2 linked regions of the Tamandua tetradactyla genome follow. The protein of the gene in region 1 interacts with the protein of each later gene in a pairwise test. Links are inferred from orthologs where the notes say so. Each region holds a gene or a part of one and is shown on either strand. Other genes may lie near its edges.

Evidence for each region. The genes of interacting proteins can lie anywhere in the genome.
Region 2: the proteins of NR1H2 (region 1) and NCOA6 interact in a two-hybrid assay, tested with the Homo sapiens proteins (2 studies listed by BioGRID). The link is inferred for Tamandua tetradactyla from reciprocal best matches to the Homo sapiens genes NR1H2 and NCOA6.

Annotation. Positions count from the first base shown.
Region 1 is NC_135342.1:10,832,518-10,840,001, forward strand, and holds the start of NR1H2 (oxysterols receptor LXR-beta), read right to left. Parts: upstream 3,044-7,484; 5' UTR 2,943-3,043; intron 2,751-2,942; 5' UTR 2,617-2,750; intron 2,083-2,616; 5' UTR 2,064-2,082; coding exon 2,021-2,063; intron 1,933-2,020; coding exon 1,801-1,932; intron 1,501-1,800; coding exon 1,210-1,500; intron 1,127-1,209; coding exon 831-1,126; intron 632-830; coding exon 452-631; intron 1-451. UniProt on the Homo sapiens protein: Nuclear receptor that exhibits a ligand-dependent transcriptional activation activity. Binds preferentially to double-stranded oligonucleotide direct repeats having the consensus half-site sequence 5'-AGGTCA-3' and 4-nt spacing (DR-4).
Region 2 is NC_135327.1:17,839,417-17,846,760, forward strand, and holds the start of NCOA6 (nuclear receptor coactivator 6), read left to right. Parts: upstream 1-4,242; 5' UTR 4,243-4,431; intron 4,432-5,336; exon of another isoform or gene 5,337-7,344. UniProt on the Homo sapiens protein: Nuclear receptor coactivator that directly binds nuclear receptors and stimulates the transcriptional activities in a hormone-dependent fashion. Coactivates expression in an agonist- and AF2-dependent manner.

The sequences.
Region 1 (7,484 bases):
TCCACACTTGTCCCTCCTCCAAGCAATATCACACTTGTGCCCACCACCCAAAACTCACTTTCCCCAGACTCTGGCGAGGCAGGCAGGGGGGCTTTGGATTTGCTCACTGCTCTATCCCCAGCACCTAGGACAGGGCCTGACATAAAGCAGGCACTCAGCATCTACTTGTTTGATCCTGACATCAACCCTTCTGAAAAGCCTTCTCAGCACACTCTCTCTAAATGGGTCCCTTCAGTCCATTCAACTACTCCCCACCTTAGCCCTCTCCCCTTTCTCTCCTTGGGGCCACACAGCCTGACTTTCTTGTTTCTGTGTTTGACGTAATCTTCTCCCAAGAGGGCAAGGAGAGGGGGTTCCTGCGTGCTGCTGTTCCCAGCACCTGTCCTGGGTTTATTTGGAGCTCCTGGAAGCCGAAAGGGAGAGCCCACAAGGCTGGGCACTCAGCCCTTACCTCAATGGTGGACGCCTTCAGCAGGGCGATCTGGTCCTCACGGCCCAGCTGCATAAAACCGGGCACCTGCTTAGCAAAGTCAACGATCTCCTGGACCGAGATGATGGCCAGCTCCGTGAAGTGGGCGAAACGCTGCTGGCGGGCATCGCGGGACTGGGGGTCTGCACCCAGGGGCCAGGGCTGGGGACATGGGGACTATGGTCACTCCCAGTACTCTTCCCTTGAGCCCAACACTGGAGGGCATCTTGAGGCAGAGCCTGCACCTGGGGGTACTCTCCTCTCAAAGCCCCTGGACTCTCAAGCCTCCCTCCCTCCCCAAGCCCTGGGCTGAAGCTAGCCAGATGCTACTTGCTCCTTGAGGCGGTGGAAGGGGCAGTACCGTGACTTTGGGCTGATCTGAGAAGGAACGCTTGTTGCACTGCAGCTGGGCTGCCACCAACTGCTGGATCATCAGTTCCTGAGCCGCCGTCAACTGGACCCCTTCGCCTTCCCCACAGCCCTGGCTGCTGGCCTCTGACCCTCCAGGAGAGGCCCCAGACCCAGGGGCTGAGCTGCTGCTGCTGCTGCTGCTGCTGCTGCCCCCTGGCCCCACGGGCGACTGTTGCTGCTGCTGCTGCTGTTGCAGCTGCTGCTTCCGAATCTTTTTTTTCCGGATCTGTTCTTCAGAGAGGACGCCTGTGGGGAGATGCAGGCCTCAGCAGAGGTCCCAAGCTGGGTGGGGACCAGACTGGCTCTGCTCCCTCAATCCCAGCACTCACACTGCTCCCTCATTCCTGCCTCCTTGCATTTGCGCAGCCGGCACTGCTGGCACTTGCGCCTCATGAAGGCATCCATCTGGCAGGTGCCACCGCCCCGACAGGCATAGCGCCCAGCCCCACCGCGGACCACACTGCGCCGGAAGAAGCCCTTGCAGCCTTCGCAGCTGAGCACGTTGTAGTGGAAGCCAGAGGCCTTGTCCCCGCACACCCGGCACAGTTCATGGCCCAGCATCTTCGGAGCCGGACCCTTCTTCCGCTTGCGCTCTGGCTCTTCCACTGGGTATGGGGTGACTGTGGTGGGTGGACAGAGATCGTGAGGAGAGCCTCAGAGAGAGCACCCAGAGAGGTCGGCCCCAAGGAATTCCAACAAAGAACCAACAGACAGGAAGAGAGATGCATATACCCAGGGAGGCAGGGATTCAGAGGAAAAAAGAGGTGTGGGTGAACCCCAAAGAATGAGTCAAAGTAAGAGATGTCAAGGAGGAACAGAAGGGAAAAAATCCCGTCTCACCCTTCCAGTCTCTGCACTTTCTCCCGAAATCCCTCCCAGACTCCCCAGGTGAACTTCCTGACCCCTGGGTCCTGTCTCACCCACACTGCAGGCTGAGCCTGCCCCATCAGTGCCTGGGACATCAGGGTCCGGACCCCCAGTCCACGGCTCTGGACCTTCTTCCTTTATGGCAGGGGAAGAAGAGGGGACACCGGGCTGAGGGGGTGCATTTCCTGGGAGAAGGGAGGAAACAGAAGGAGACTGAGTGAGCATCTTCTGATTGTGTGTAATAGAGGCTGGGTGGGAAAGGAGGTCACTCACCAGGCAGGGGGTTGTCCAAGGAACTGGTGCTAGGAGTGGACATGGTGGGGTCACGGAGCAGCCTACAGAACAGACAGGGTTAAAGAAAGGGCTTGTGGGACCACAAGGGGTCAGGTGGTACAAGTTACCAGCCCGACTGGGACCCAATACCTTCCTCCAACTCCATCCAACTTCATTCAAACTCCACCCCAGCCCCAGGCCAGAACCCTACCAGCATACAAATCCTCCCCTCCTAGTCTAGCAAGCCACGCCTCTTCCCCTGCTCCAGGACAGCTTCCAGCCACCCGGTCCCTATCCCGCCCACCTGCCGGTTCCAGGTCCCACCCCTTAATGATGCCCCGCCCTCATTTCCTCCCTTCCCTCACACCCCACCTACTCCCACTCAGAGACTCCACCTCCCACAAGCTACCCCCTCTCATCCTGACCCCACCTCTTTCCATCAGGCTCCGCCCATCATGCACAGCCCATAACCTGGCCCCAAGCTCACGCCATCAGTACCCCTCCCAAGCCCCGCCCCATTACTCGCTCCAGATCCCGCCCCAGCCCGCCCATCATGCCCTTGGCCCCACCTCCTTCCATCATGCTCCGCCCCTCACCTCGCTCCAGGTTCCGCCCCTCTCCGAGCGCCAGTAGGGGGCGGGGCTCATGGCTGCTCACGGGGGTCTCGTAGGCGGCCTCTTGTGGGGGTCTCCGGCTCCCGTTGCTTTGGAAACAGCCGGGGCGATGCGAGCTACGGAGGGGAGAGAGTGGAAGAAAGGCTGAGCGGAGCAGCGCAGGGGACGCCGGGAAACGCCGGGCCCGGGACTCCTCCGGCGCCCCTCTGCCCTCGGGTGCACCTGCCTTCGTTCCCGTTTCTCTGCTTCTCTTCCTCCGCTCTGTCCCCTTGCGCGCTACCACTGCTTAGGTCCCCTCCAAAACTAACTTCGCCACTTCTTCCGGCAACCCCGCCGTGCGTCACTTCTAGTCAAGGGCGGGGAGTGAAAGGTGACGGACTTCCGGTCCGCCCAGAGCGGGCCGAATCGGTTGCCCCGAACGGAAGTCGTTTCCTCACCGGAAGTTTACCCTGGCCGGGTAGTTCCCCTGGGGTCCGGCGGGAGAGTTCCGGGCCCTTTCGTGTAGCTATCCAAGCGCCTGGCTCGGTTTTAGCGCTCCTTGGTGTAGCTGCATTTCGCAAATGGCTGGTTAACCCGTTTTTGTCCTTTTTTGGGTTAACAAGTTTTCGGATTTTAGAGATGTGCTGCTTGTTGGTTTTAAATAAAACTACAATTCTGCATCCAGAAGATGTTTTGTTTTGTTTTGAATGATTTAGGGATTGGAATATTTTTTTAAAACTTCCCCTTACAAAAAAAAAAAAAGTAAGAAAGCTCTTGAGGAAATTCTAACAGGTAGAAGATGGAAATTGTTCTACAGCCTCCCCCTTCCATATATGCACATTTGTAAAATTAAGTGTAAGAATATAAGATCTATACTCTTTTTGTAGCTTGTTTTGTCCACTCAATAGGATAATACAAAGATCCTTCTGTGTTTAGCAAATGCTACTCCCCAGTCTGAATTTATAGGCCGTGAATGTTTCACCCAAAGAGGTTACCGATAAAGAGAAGTGGTTATCGTGGGCTTCGGGGTCAGAAGGAATGGGTGCCCCTGCCACTTCCTTGCTGTGAAACTTTGAAGTAACTTAACCAACCTCCCTGCGCCTCGGTTTTCTCATCTGTAAATTGGAAACGAGGAAAGAATCGACCTATTGCGTTGTCATTATGATTTACTGAGAGGTAAAAAATATGAATTGGATGAGCTCGAGGGAGAAGCCCTGTATGTTGGCGCTATTGTTTAGTCCTGTGGGTATTAAGGTATTAGAACAATGCAAAAGACTGTTGACGAATTACTGAAGTGTGAGGGCCAGTTACGTCATAGTTGGCCCTCCTCTAGAACAGATATGATTATTCATATTTCTTAGGAAGGATGAAAGGATTCAGGGAGCATAGTGTCTGACGTATAGAAGCATCCAATCAGCCATCCTAATTGCAGATGAGTGTTCTCACTTGTAACTGACCCACTGTCCACGAAGTTTTTTTTAATGCAACTGTGTTGAGAGATATATTCACGTACATAGACTCATCCAAAGTGTACAATCGGTGGTTCACAGTATCATTATATAGCTGTGCATTCATCATCACAATCGATGATGATTGAAACATTTTCATTACTCCAAAAACAATAGAAATAAAAGTAAAAAAGAACACCCAAAACATCCCATGTCCTTCCCTTAGTATTTATTTATTTTTGACTTTATTTTCTTGCTCATCTGTCCGTACACTGAATAAAGAAAGTGTCTGTCACAAGGTTTTCACAATCACAGGGTCACACCGTAAAAGGTATAAAGTCATACAATCATCTTCAAGAATCAATGCTACTGGATTACAGTTCAACAGTTTCAGGTATTTCCCTCTAGCTACTCCAATACACCAAAAACTGAAAAGGGATGTCTATATACTGCATAAGAATAACTTCTAGAATGACCTCTCAACTCTTTGAAATCTCTCAGCCACTGAAAATTTATTTTGCTTCGTTTCTCTTTTCCCATTTAGTCAAGAAGGCGTTATAAATGCCGTAATGCCAGGTCCCAGCTCATGCCCAGGAGTCCTGTCCCACGTTACTGGGGAGATTTACACCCCTGGGAGTCATGTCCCATTTAGGGATATCCCTCAACTTTCTTTTTTTGTAGGCAAAAGTAATAAAGTTTATTAAAAGAGAAGTTTATTAAAAAGAGAGGGTACACGTTAGAGAAGTTAACCCGTGCGTGCCCAAGGGGGGACACCCACTGAATGGAGTGGGCCAGCTTGTTTTATAGGAAAGTTTTATCGGTGGTGGGTTTCCATAGTAACCTTTAAATAGTAGATGTCTTCTTTATTCTAGGAGGACATAGCTAGCAGAATTCATGGTTTCTTATCACGAACCTAAAATTGTCTTTGGGCAAATGGTTAACAATCTTTATGTCCTTAGGTTTCCTATTATTAAGTAAGAGTTTGCTTTGGGCCCAGAATTTTACAAGATTTTATAGTTTGGGGAGGATTCAATGTTTTGGGGATGTTTGGGTTTTAGTGACATTTTTGTCCCGGGAGATTTGCAGCTGAAGTCTGCAGCTCTGAGTTAGATCCTCGGAGCTAGATAAGAAACAAGGGACTTAGAGTTGCCTGTTAACTCTTTCAGAGCTGAATAGGAAACCAGGGACTTACAGTTGTACTATTTTATCCTGCTTCAATCTGCTCCCTGAAAGAATTCAATCTCTTTAATCTTAAAGGGGTTGAGGGATAACTGTTTGATGTTTTCAGAGTTGAGAGAGTACATGTGGGAATGCGCATAATTGCTAACAATGATGGAAGGGCTGGGGGATGTTGGAAAATACAAAAAAATCATTATAATTCACCCCATCCCACCACTCTTACAATCTTTGCACCACTTCTTCCACATAAGTCCCTGAGTGTGGGAAAGGGAGGTTACAGGTTTACAGCTTGCAATGCTGAGAAATGAGGGGGAAAAAAAAGCATTTGGGGGAAGGCAAGTACATTTAGAGCTGCTTTGCCTCCCTGTTCATTTATTTTGTCACATAATTATGCCCCAGTCACACTTGAACGTGGACATCTGTCCCATAAGCTGGTATACAGTTGAATCGGGAGTTCTTTAGTAATTTATCCAGATTGAGCTGTTCCAAACAGATGGGCAGGTCCTGTTTAGATGTACTCTTGCTTCTTTTAGAAGTCTTTTTTTGTTGAAGATGATTTTCTCATTTGTAGTTGACTGCAAACAGAATGCAGGTCTCCAGGACCAGTGTCTTACGTAGAAAATGCTGCTCTCCTGGGATCTTTTGGGATCACTCCTGCCAGGCTCACCTGAATATGTAACCAGTGCCCTGCCAGCAATGCTGCCAGCTGAGCTCCGATCAGGTTCAACAGTCTTGAAACTAAAAGAATTTAGAGATGAGAGGGACAGTAGGCATAAATAGTAAAGTTTACTGAAAGAAGTTGATAAAAAAAAAGAGAGAGTATGTGTTAGAAAGGTTACCGTGGGTAAGCCCAAGGGAGGGACACCCCTCAACTTTTAAAAATAGTTTTGTGGAGATGTAGTTCGCATACCATGCAATTCACCCATTTAAAGTGTGTGATGCAACGGTGTTTAGTGTCTTCACAGATTTGGACAACCATCAATGTGGGCAATCATCACGATCAATTTTAGAACATTTTTATCACCCCCGAAAGAAATCCCACACTTATTAGCAGCCAATTCCCATTCTCCTTCCCCCCTCCAGCCCCCACCCCAAACTTCTGGCAACCACTAATTCACTTTCTGTCTCAAATAGACACATACAACATGGCGCTTTTTGTTACTAGTTTCTCGCACTTAGCATGTTTTTTTTCTTTTTTTATTAATTTTTAATTTTTTTAAAAATATAACAACAAACAAATGCAAACATTCTTAATTTATGATCATTCCATTCTACATATATAATCAGTAACTCACAGTATCATCACATAGTTGCACATTCATCATCCTGATCATTTCTTAGAACATTTGCGTCAAATCAGAAAAAGAAATAAGACAACAGAAAAAAATTCATAAATGCTATACCCCTTACTCCTCACTTTCATTGATCACTAGCATTTCAATCTAAGTCAACCTAAGTCAGACACAAGGTTTTCACAATCACACAGTCACACTGTGAAAGCTATAGCATTATACAATCATCTTCAAGAAACATGGCTACTGGAACACAGCTCCACATTTTCAGGCAGTTCCCTCCAGCCTCTCCATTACATCTTGACTAACAAGGTGATATCTATTTAATGCATAAGAATAACCTCCAGGATAACCTCTCGACTCTGTTTGGAATCTCTCAGCCATTGACACTTTGTCTCATTTTGCTCTTTCCCCTTTTGGTTGAGAAGGTTTTCTCAATCCCTTGATGCTGAGTCTCAGCTCATTCTAGGATTTCTGTCCCATGTTGCCAGGAAGGTCCACACCCCAGAAGTCACGTCCCACGTAGACAGGGGGAGGGTGGTGAGTTTGCTTGTTGTGTTGGCTGGAGAGAGGCCACATCTAAGTAACAAAAGAGGTTCTCTTGGGGGTGACTCTTAGGCCTAATTTTAAGTAGGCTTGACCTATCCTTTGTGGGGTTAAGTTTCATATGAACAAACCCCAAGATTGGGGGCTCAGCCTATTGCTTTGGTTGTCCACACTGCTTGTGAGAATATCAAGAATTCAACTTGGGGAAGTTGAATTTTCCCCCTTTCTCACCATTCCCCAAAGGGAACTTGGCAAATACTTTTTTATTCACTGTTCAAATCACTCTGGGATTTATCGGGGTATCACTCTGGACAAACCAACAAAAGCTCATGCCCTACTTCAGCTTCCATGTACTTAACAATGTTCAATTAAGCTGACTACATAAGTTATATTAGGAAATGCACTA
Region 2 (7,344 bases), on another chromosome or scaffold:
GGCAGAGACCTTTGGATATAAAGAAGAAAAACACCCTCCCGGAGAGCTTTATGAAACAAGATACCAGGAGAGAAAGCTAGTTGACTTCACCATGTGCCCTTCCAGCTGAGAGAAACACCCTGAATTTCATTGGTCTTTCTTGAGTGAAGGTAACCTCTTGTTGGTGCCTTAATTTGGACATTTTCATAGCCTTGCCTTAAGTTGGACATTTTCACGCCTTAGACAGTAAACTTGCTTCTTAATAAATTCCCCTTTTTAAAAGCCGTTCTGTTTCTGATATATTGCATTCTGCATACCCCAGCAGAAAATTGTACATAGGTTCATCCAAAAACATGTACAAGAATATTCCGGTAGTAGTATTAAAAATAGCCCTAAAGTGTAAACCTAAATGCCTGTCATGAGTGCAATGGATAAATTGTGGTACATGGAATAATGAAATGCTATGCAGCAATGAAAGTGAACAAAATACAACTACCTGCAACATTATAAATGAATCTCAAAAATAGAAAATTGAGGAAAAGAAGCCAGATTCAAAAGAGTACTTTATGTATGATCCCATTTATGTAAAGTTTAGAACCTGGCAAAGCTAATCTGCAGAGTTAGATGTCAGGATATTGTTTGCCCTTGATGGGTATGGGTATGTTCTATTTCTTAATTTGAGCACTGATTCTTCATGTATGATCGCTTTCCAAAAATTCATCAGGTTTTCACACTTATGATTCATTCACATTTATGTCTTTATACTATAGTCTAAGACAAAGTTTTTTTTTTTTTCCAAAGGACAGGAATTTCAGAATCTTCTTGAAAATAGGTTTTTTAGTCCTAAGAATCTCTTTTCATTAGTTTTTGATACTTTTCAATTTTTTCAGTCGTGTAGTTATTGCTCTGTTTTCTTCTATTTTTCAATCTTCTTATTTCTGAAGGGAAAGGCATTGTTGTCCATATTAAGCTTTTATGTGAAGTAGAAAAAACTGACCCTATCCTCTCGGGCATTTTATTTCCATTTGTCTGAAAATTGTTATGAAATGATTTCGTATTAGCAAGGCACTATACTGCCTTCTGCTGGTAAATTAGCACAATAAATGTACAGATCTACAATGCCAAGGTGCCGCCCTCTTGTAGCTTGCCCAGCTAAATGTGGGAACCCTGTTGTTTGGCACTGTTAGGATAAAGCCTGTAGACAACAGAATGTTGGTGCTCTTTAGGTGGCTTTGTTATGGATTTTTTCCTCTCTGTTCTTATTTTCTTAAAGACGTCTTTCAAGAATTCACCACCAGTCTTATCACTACAAAGCTCAAGACCATGCAGACACCTAAATGAAAGTAGAAGTTCAAAACTGCTAATTAGTAAAACCGCTTATACCAAAGAAAAATTGATTTGCATTTTCTTTACCCACGTCTGAATCCAGAATAAGAAACTGGGTATCTCAGGACTGCTTGTTTTTGCTCAAAACACTGCAAAACAGCCAGATACCTTCTTCAGGGGCCTCGTTCAATCTGGTGTCTATTGAGGCTGTCATCGTTCTAGGCACTCCTCTAAGCATTTTAGATGCATTAATTCATTTAATCCTCTTGAAAACCTTATCTACCCTTATTATCTGCATCTTGTAGATGAGGTAACTGAGGTACAAAACATTACAAATGGCAATATTACAAAAATAGTCTCCTTGGGGAGCTTACACTTTACTAGGGGTGTGTACACACCCTCCCCCCCCCCATCAATCATATTTAGATTAAAAACAAAGAAGGGAGAATATTCTGAACTCTGTTGGACAAGTCATTTATCTCCCTTTGGTCCAGTTTCCCTATCTATATAATTAGGAGGTTGGATTTATCCAAGATCACATAGCTAATAAACAGCACAGCTAGAATCTGAACTTGGATATTTTGGTTTCAGAGCCCAATCTTGTCATCATTATGTTACATTGTCTGCCAGCTCATGACCTGTTACAGTTCAATGCCACCCTGCATATGCTCCTTCTCTTTCCACCAACAGGATGTGTAGGTGCTCAAGTGGGCCCCTCTCTCCTCTGCTCCCTGCTTCCTGCCTGATCTAAGGAAAACACATGACCCTTGGTTAAGGACACCAATAAGATAATGAAGAATGAGGTAGTCACTCAGGTTCTGGAATCCTGCAGACTTTTCTTACCTTTAGAAGCTTCTATGGGACTAAGAGGTCAGCTTTTGGACCAGCTGATGGCAGGACCCCTGTCTCAGCAGGATGGCGTGGTCACATCTTAATCTTTCAAATTAATGAATTAATCGAGAAATTCATAAACTGTATCATTATCCAAATAGTCATTCTTTAGTTATGTTAGATTTCTAGGCTAAATACAAAAAGTGTATACATTGTATAGTTCTTCTATCTTAAACTCAAGAATTGTAAAAATTAATCTTTGGTGCTATAAGTCAGAGTAGTGATTTCCTCCAGTAAAGGGAGAGGACACATGTGAGGATACAAAAGAGGACTTTCTGGGTTGATAGTGATGCTCTGTAACTTGACCTGGTAACACAGGAGCATAGATTTAAAAATATGTATTAGGTATTACACTTAAGATTTTTGCATTATATCTCAATTTTAAAGAGTTAAAGAGCTTCAAAAATGTTTTCCAGCTTCCTTTAAAGTTCCTTTGGAGTTAATTTGATAGGCTGGAAGTATGTGTCCCCTCGTGGTTCTCTTTGCTTTTCTCTGTCCTTTTGGGATCCAACATCTATCCTGGTGGCCAGGATTCATACACACAACAAACATTTATTGAGTACTTACTCTGTGCCAGGTGCCGGGCACCGTGCTATGTACTTAGAACACAACAGTGAACAAGACGATAAGGTCTCCCTCTTTGTGGAATCCACAGTCTAGTGGTAAACCATCTAGTGCATTCTGCATCAAGGACAAGCACATGGTGCTAAGAAGACTTTTCTGGGGGGTGATCAGGGAGGGTATTCTTGGGTTAGAGAGTTTGAGCTGGAACCTGAAAATTGATGCATTACCAAAGGGCAGAGAGTATTTTAGGCAGAATGATCCGCATGCGCAAGGGTCCTGAGGAAGGAGGGTATCCTGTGAAGAATTTAAGAAAGCCACTGTCATTGCAGCCCAAAGAACAGAGAAGAGGGCCTTAACCTGGAGAAGGGAAAGGGAGGCAAACAGAAAGATATTTATTGGGTTTTTATCTTAAGAACAATGCGGGGCCATCAAATAGGGGAGTGATATGATCAGATTTCTGACTTAGAAACATTACTCTGACAGCAGGGTGAAGAATAGAATGAGTTGGGCCACGGAAGATGTAGTTATATGGTGTATGCTCAATAAATATCTATGGAATTAAAGGGGCCCTGACTCCTTTTTTAGACGGGACCATTATTCCTGAGCTGTGCAAGCAGCTTACAATCTACCTGCTCATCGTCTATCTTCTGTGATGTTTATGACAGACTCACCTTCCTTTTTATTTATTTTATTATTTTTTTAAACATGGGCAGGCACCGGGAATCGAACCAGGGTCTCCAACTTGGCAGGAGAGAACTCTGCCTGCTAAGCCACCGTGGCCCGCCCTTAACGCCCTTTTTATAAATGGGGAAATTGAAGTTCGGAGAAGCAAAGAAAATAACACAACTGTCAAGAGTAAAAGATCAGAATCCAGGATTGTAAAACATCAAGCCCTGTGCAGAAGCCTCCTGACATTTGGGGAGAGGGGAGGGAGCTGCACTCACTTGTTCAGTCAAAAGATATATTTATTAAGCACTTACTCAACTTGCTATCATGGTGGTGATGGGGAAAAGCAGAGAGGGACTTACAGGCAAATAATAATAAAGGCTATCCTTATCATCATTGATGATATTATTAGACACTAAGTGCTAAGCACTGTGCCAAGTGCTTTCCACACCTTCCCTCATTTCCCCTTCGCAAACATTAATATTATCTCAATATTTCAGATACTTAAACTGAGGTTGGGAAAGGTAACTTGCCCTAAGACATTTAGCCAGAGCACTCCCAAAGGGTTGTGCAGTGCTTCCAAAGTAGGATCAAGTGCCCCTGGTGAGATTTTGGTGCTGGTAAGCAGACAGAAACCCATGGGATTTCAGGTCTAAGAGATCCACACCCACGCGAGCCAGCGCGGGCTCCGCCCAGCGCTCCCAAGGACGTTTGATCACGTGGACAGGGCCCCGCCCCTTGGCCCACCCCGTCCCCTCCCGCGCTCCCTCCCCCTCTCTCTCTCCCTCCCTCCCTCCCCCTCCCTCCCTGGCCCGGTCCGGCCCATCCCCCTCCCTCCGGCTCCCTGAGGCCCAGCCGGGTCGGGCTGCTGGCGGCCGGGCGCGGACCGCCGGATAGACGGGCGCGGGCGAGCACGGACGCACACACGCACGGAGGGCCGCGGGCACGCACGGCCCGGGCTGGCGCTCCGAGGCCCGCCCGGGAGGGCCGGCGAGCTGCGCTCAGGTGAGGCGACGGCGACGCAGGCCCGTAAGGGGTGGGCCTGCCGGGCGTCTATGGCCCCGGCCGGCTGGCTCAGCTGGGAGGAGGTACTGCTCCGGCCCGGCGCGGGAAAATGGCGGCGACCGACCGCGGAGCGCGGCCGTAGTGCGGGCTCTGCCGGGAGCCGCCCCGCCCGCGCGTCCGTCCGTCGGGCTCGTGTCCCCGTCGCCATGTTGGGGAGCGGGCCCGGGGCCTGCGGGCGGGGGCGCTGGAGGGAGCTGGGGCCTTGCCTGGGGTGGGGAGGGTGCGGGACGCGGGTTCGGGAACTTGAGGGAGTGCAGTGCAGGGCCGAGCAGACGCCTGCATTGGGTGGCGCTCCGCGCCTGGAGAACTGGCCGAAGCCGGCCATGGGGCCGTGACCGGGGTTGTGGAAAAGGGACACAGGGTCCAAATGGAACCTGGGTCGAGGTCCACGCGGCTGCGTGCGCGCGCCGGACCTGGGGCAGGGTCAGGCCATGGGCGTTGTACAGGACCCCAGAACAGGTAGGACCCAGAGGTTGATAGGGCCGGCCGAGTTCAGGCTGTCAGGACTGGGACAGTTCTCTGGAGGAGGAGCGACCAGAAACAGGGACCCTTGGAGGACAGAATTGGTTATCCTATTGGAATAGCCCTCGGAGCCCCGGGGCTGAATTGCAAGTCCATATAACCCCCAAGGGACTGAGGACTTTGGTGTCCCCAGGATCCCCCAACTCCTGTTGAGGGGGAGCAACAGAAAAAGGGAAGGGCTTGGATAGGAATAGAAAAGAGGGAGGCTAGGTTAGATACAGAAGCTGGTGAGCAGAAGGGATGCAGAGAGTGGAAATAGTTGGCAAGGAGAGAGAGAACCTCCATAAACTTAGAGAGTTTGTGTGTGTCTTTAAAAGGAGGGACTGGGCGGTTGGAGGGTGGTGACACAAGGTATCTTCCCAGGAAGGGGACAGCCCACTGCTTAAGAGCAGGGTCACCTGGGGAGATTGACATCAGAAATGTGTTATTGAAGCCAGTAAAAATGGTGAAGAGACGTGAATGTGTAAAGAATTTTAAGGGCCTTAGAGATCATGTAATCATTTCAGATCATGTAGTGATTTTAGTTGAGACATTGAAAGGTAAAGTTGACTTTCCAAGATCTTGCAGATTAGTGATAGAAGGAGGACTAGAACTCAGGTCTTTTGCCTCCTCATTCAGTGTACTGCCTTAGAGGAATTTGCTAGCTGGGAGAAAAGTGTTTAAAAGTCAAGGATGACATTATATATCAGAGAACTGTTAATGATTTTATTTTGGTTTTGTACTGAGTTTGTCATTGCAAAGGCTGTTATACAAAAAAGTATGGGTGACTTGATATTTTCTAACCCACCTTCTAGCAAAGAAGTTGTTTTCAAGATGCTTTTGACCTTGGACTTTCTAGAATTTTAAGAGATGATCCTTTTCTTCTAGGTGTTTACTGTGCGGTAAAGTGACACAAAAAGTCTAAAAATATAACAGTGAATAATGATATAAATCCAGGATCTAGTTGAAGTTTGATCATGCCAGAGAAGAGGACAAAGATCAGATGGGCTGTGGTAGAGTTCTGAGAGAACCTATGCAAATCAGTCATGATATAGTAGGTCCAGGGCCCTCATTAATAAAAAAGGACTTTCCACAAAAAGATTATTGGAGCATTCATAACAGTAAGATTTTCAGTACAGTATGTGTGCTCAGTAATATTTTCCTTGTTCTGGATTTTTCCAGTGCCAGGGGATCCTGACTTTTTCTGTGCATGGATCCCTTTAGCATCTGGTGAAGCCTAGGAACCTGTCTCAGAATAATATTTTTAATTGTGTAAAGTAAAATACATAGGCTGCAAAGGAAACCAATTATATTGAAATACAGTAATCAAAATAGATTGTTGCCAAAGATGGAAACAGTCCTAGTGCCCATCAGCAGTTGAATGGATAAACAAAATGTGGTATATACATACAATGGAATACTATGCAGCAGTAAGACGAAATGAGGTCCTGAAATGAGGTCCTGAAGTGTATGACAGCATGGATAAGCCTTGAGGACATAGTGCTCAATGAAATAAGTCAGACACAAAAGGATAGATTACTGTATGATTTTGCTTTTATGACCGTGGTAAAGGTAAAATCAGAGACTTATAATATAGAATATAGGGGACCTAGAGATACACAGAACCTTGAGATATCTAATGAGGTTGAACTCAAATGTAAGGGAATGAATAGAAGTGAAAACAGTTCACTAGTGGATTTATAAGTAATATTACTACATTGAAGGTGAACATGATTGAAAGGGATTGTATAGACTCATGTGTCCCATGGATTAACACTACAAATATAAGTTCTTGTATGAACTCGTTCAAAGGTATGAATCTTGTACAGAGAATCAATAATAGAGGGGTATGGGGGAAAACTACTATTGCATGCTGTTCTAGTTTGCTAGCTGCTGGAATGCAACACACCAGAGACGGATTGGCTTTTAATAAAAGGGGATTTATTTTGTTGGCTCTTCAGAGGAAAGGCAGCTAACTTTCCACTGAGGTTCTTTCTTACGTGGAAGGCACAGGATGGTCTCTGCTGGTCTTCTCTCCAGGCCCCTGGGTTCCAACAACTTTCCCCGGGGAGACTTCTTTCTGCATCTCCAAGGGCCTGGGCTGAGCTGCGAGTGCTGAGATGAGGAATGCTGAGCTGCTAGCAGTGCTACGTTGCAATCTCCCATTTAAGCACCAGCCAATTAAGTCAGACGTCACTCATTGCAGCAGACACGCCTCCTAGCTGACTGCAGATGTAATTGGCAACAGATGAGGTTCACGCACCATTGGCTTATGTCCTCAGCAACAAGACTAGGTATGCTCACCTGGCCAAGTTGACAACTGAATCTAACTAACACACATGCTATGGTCTA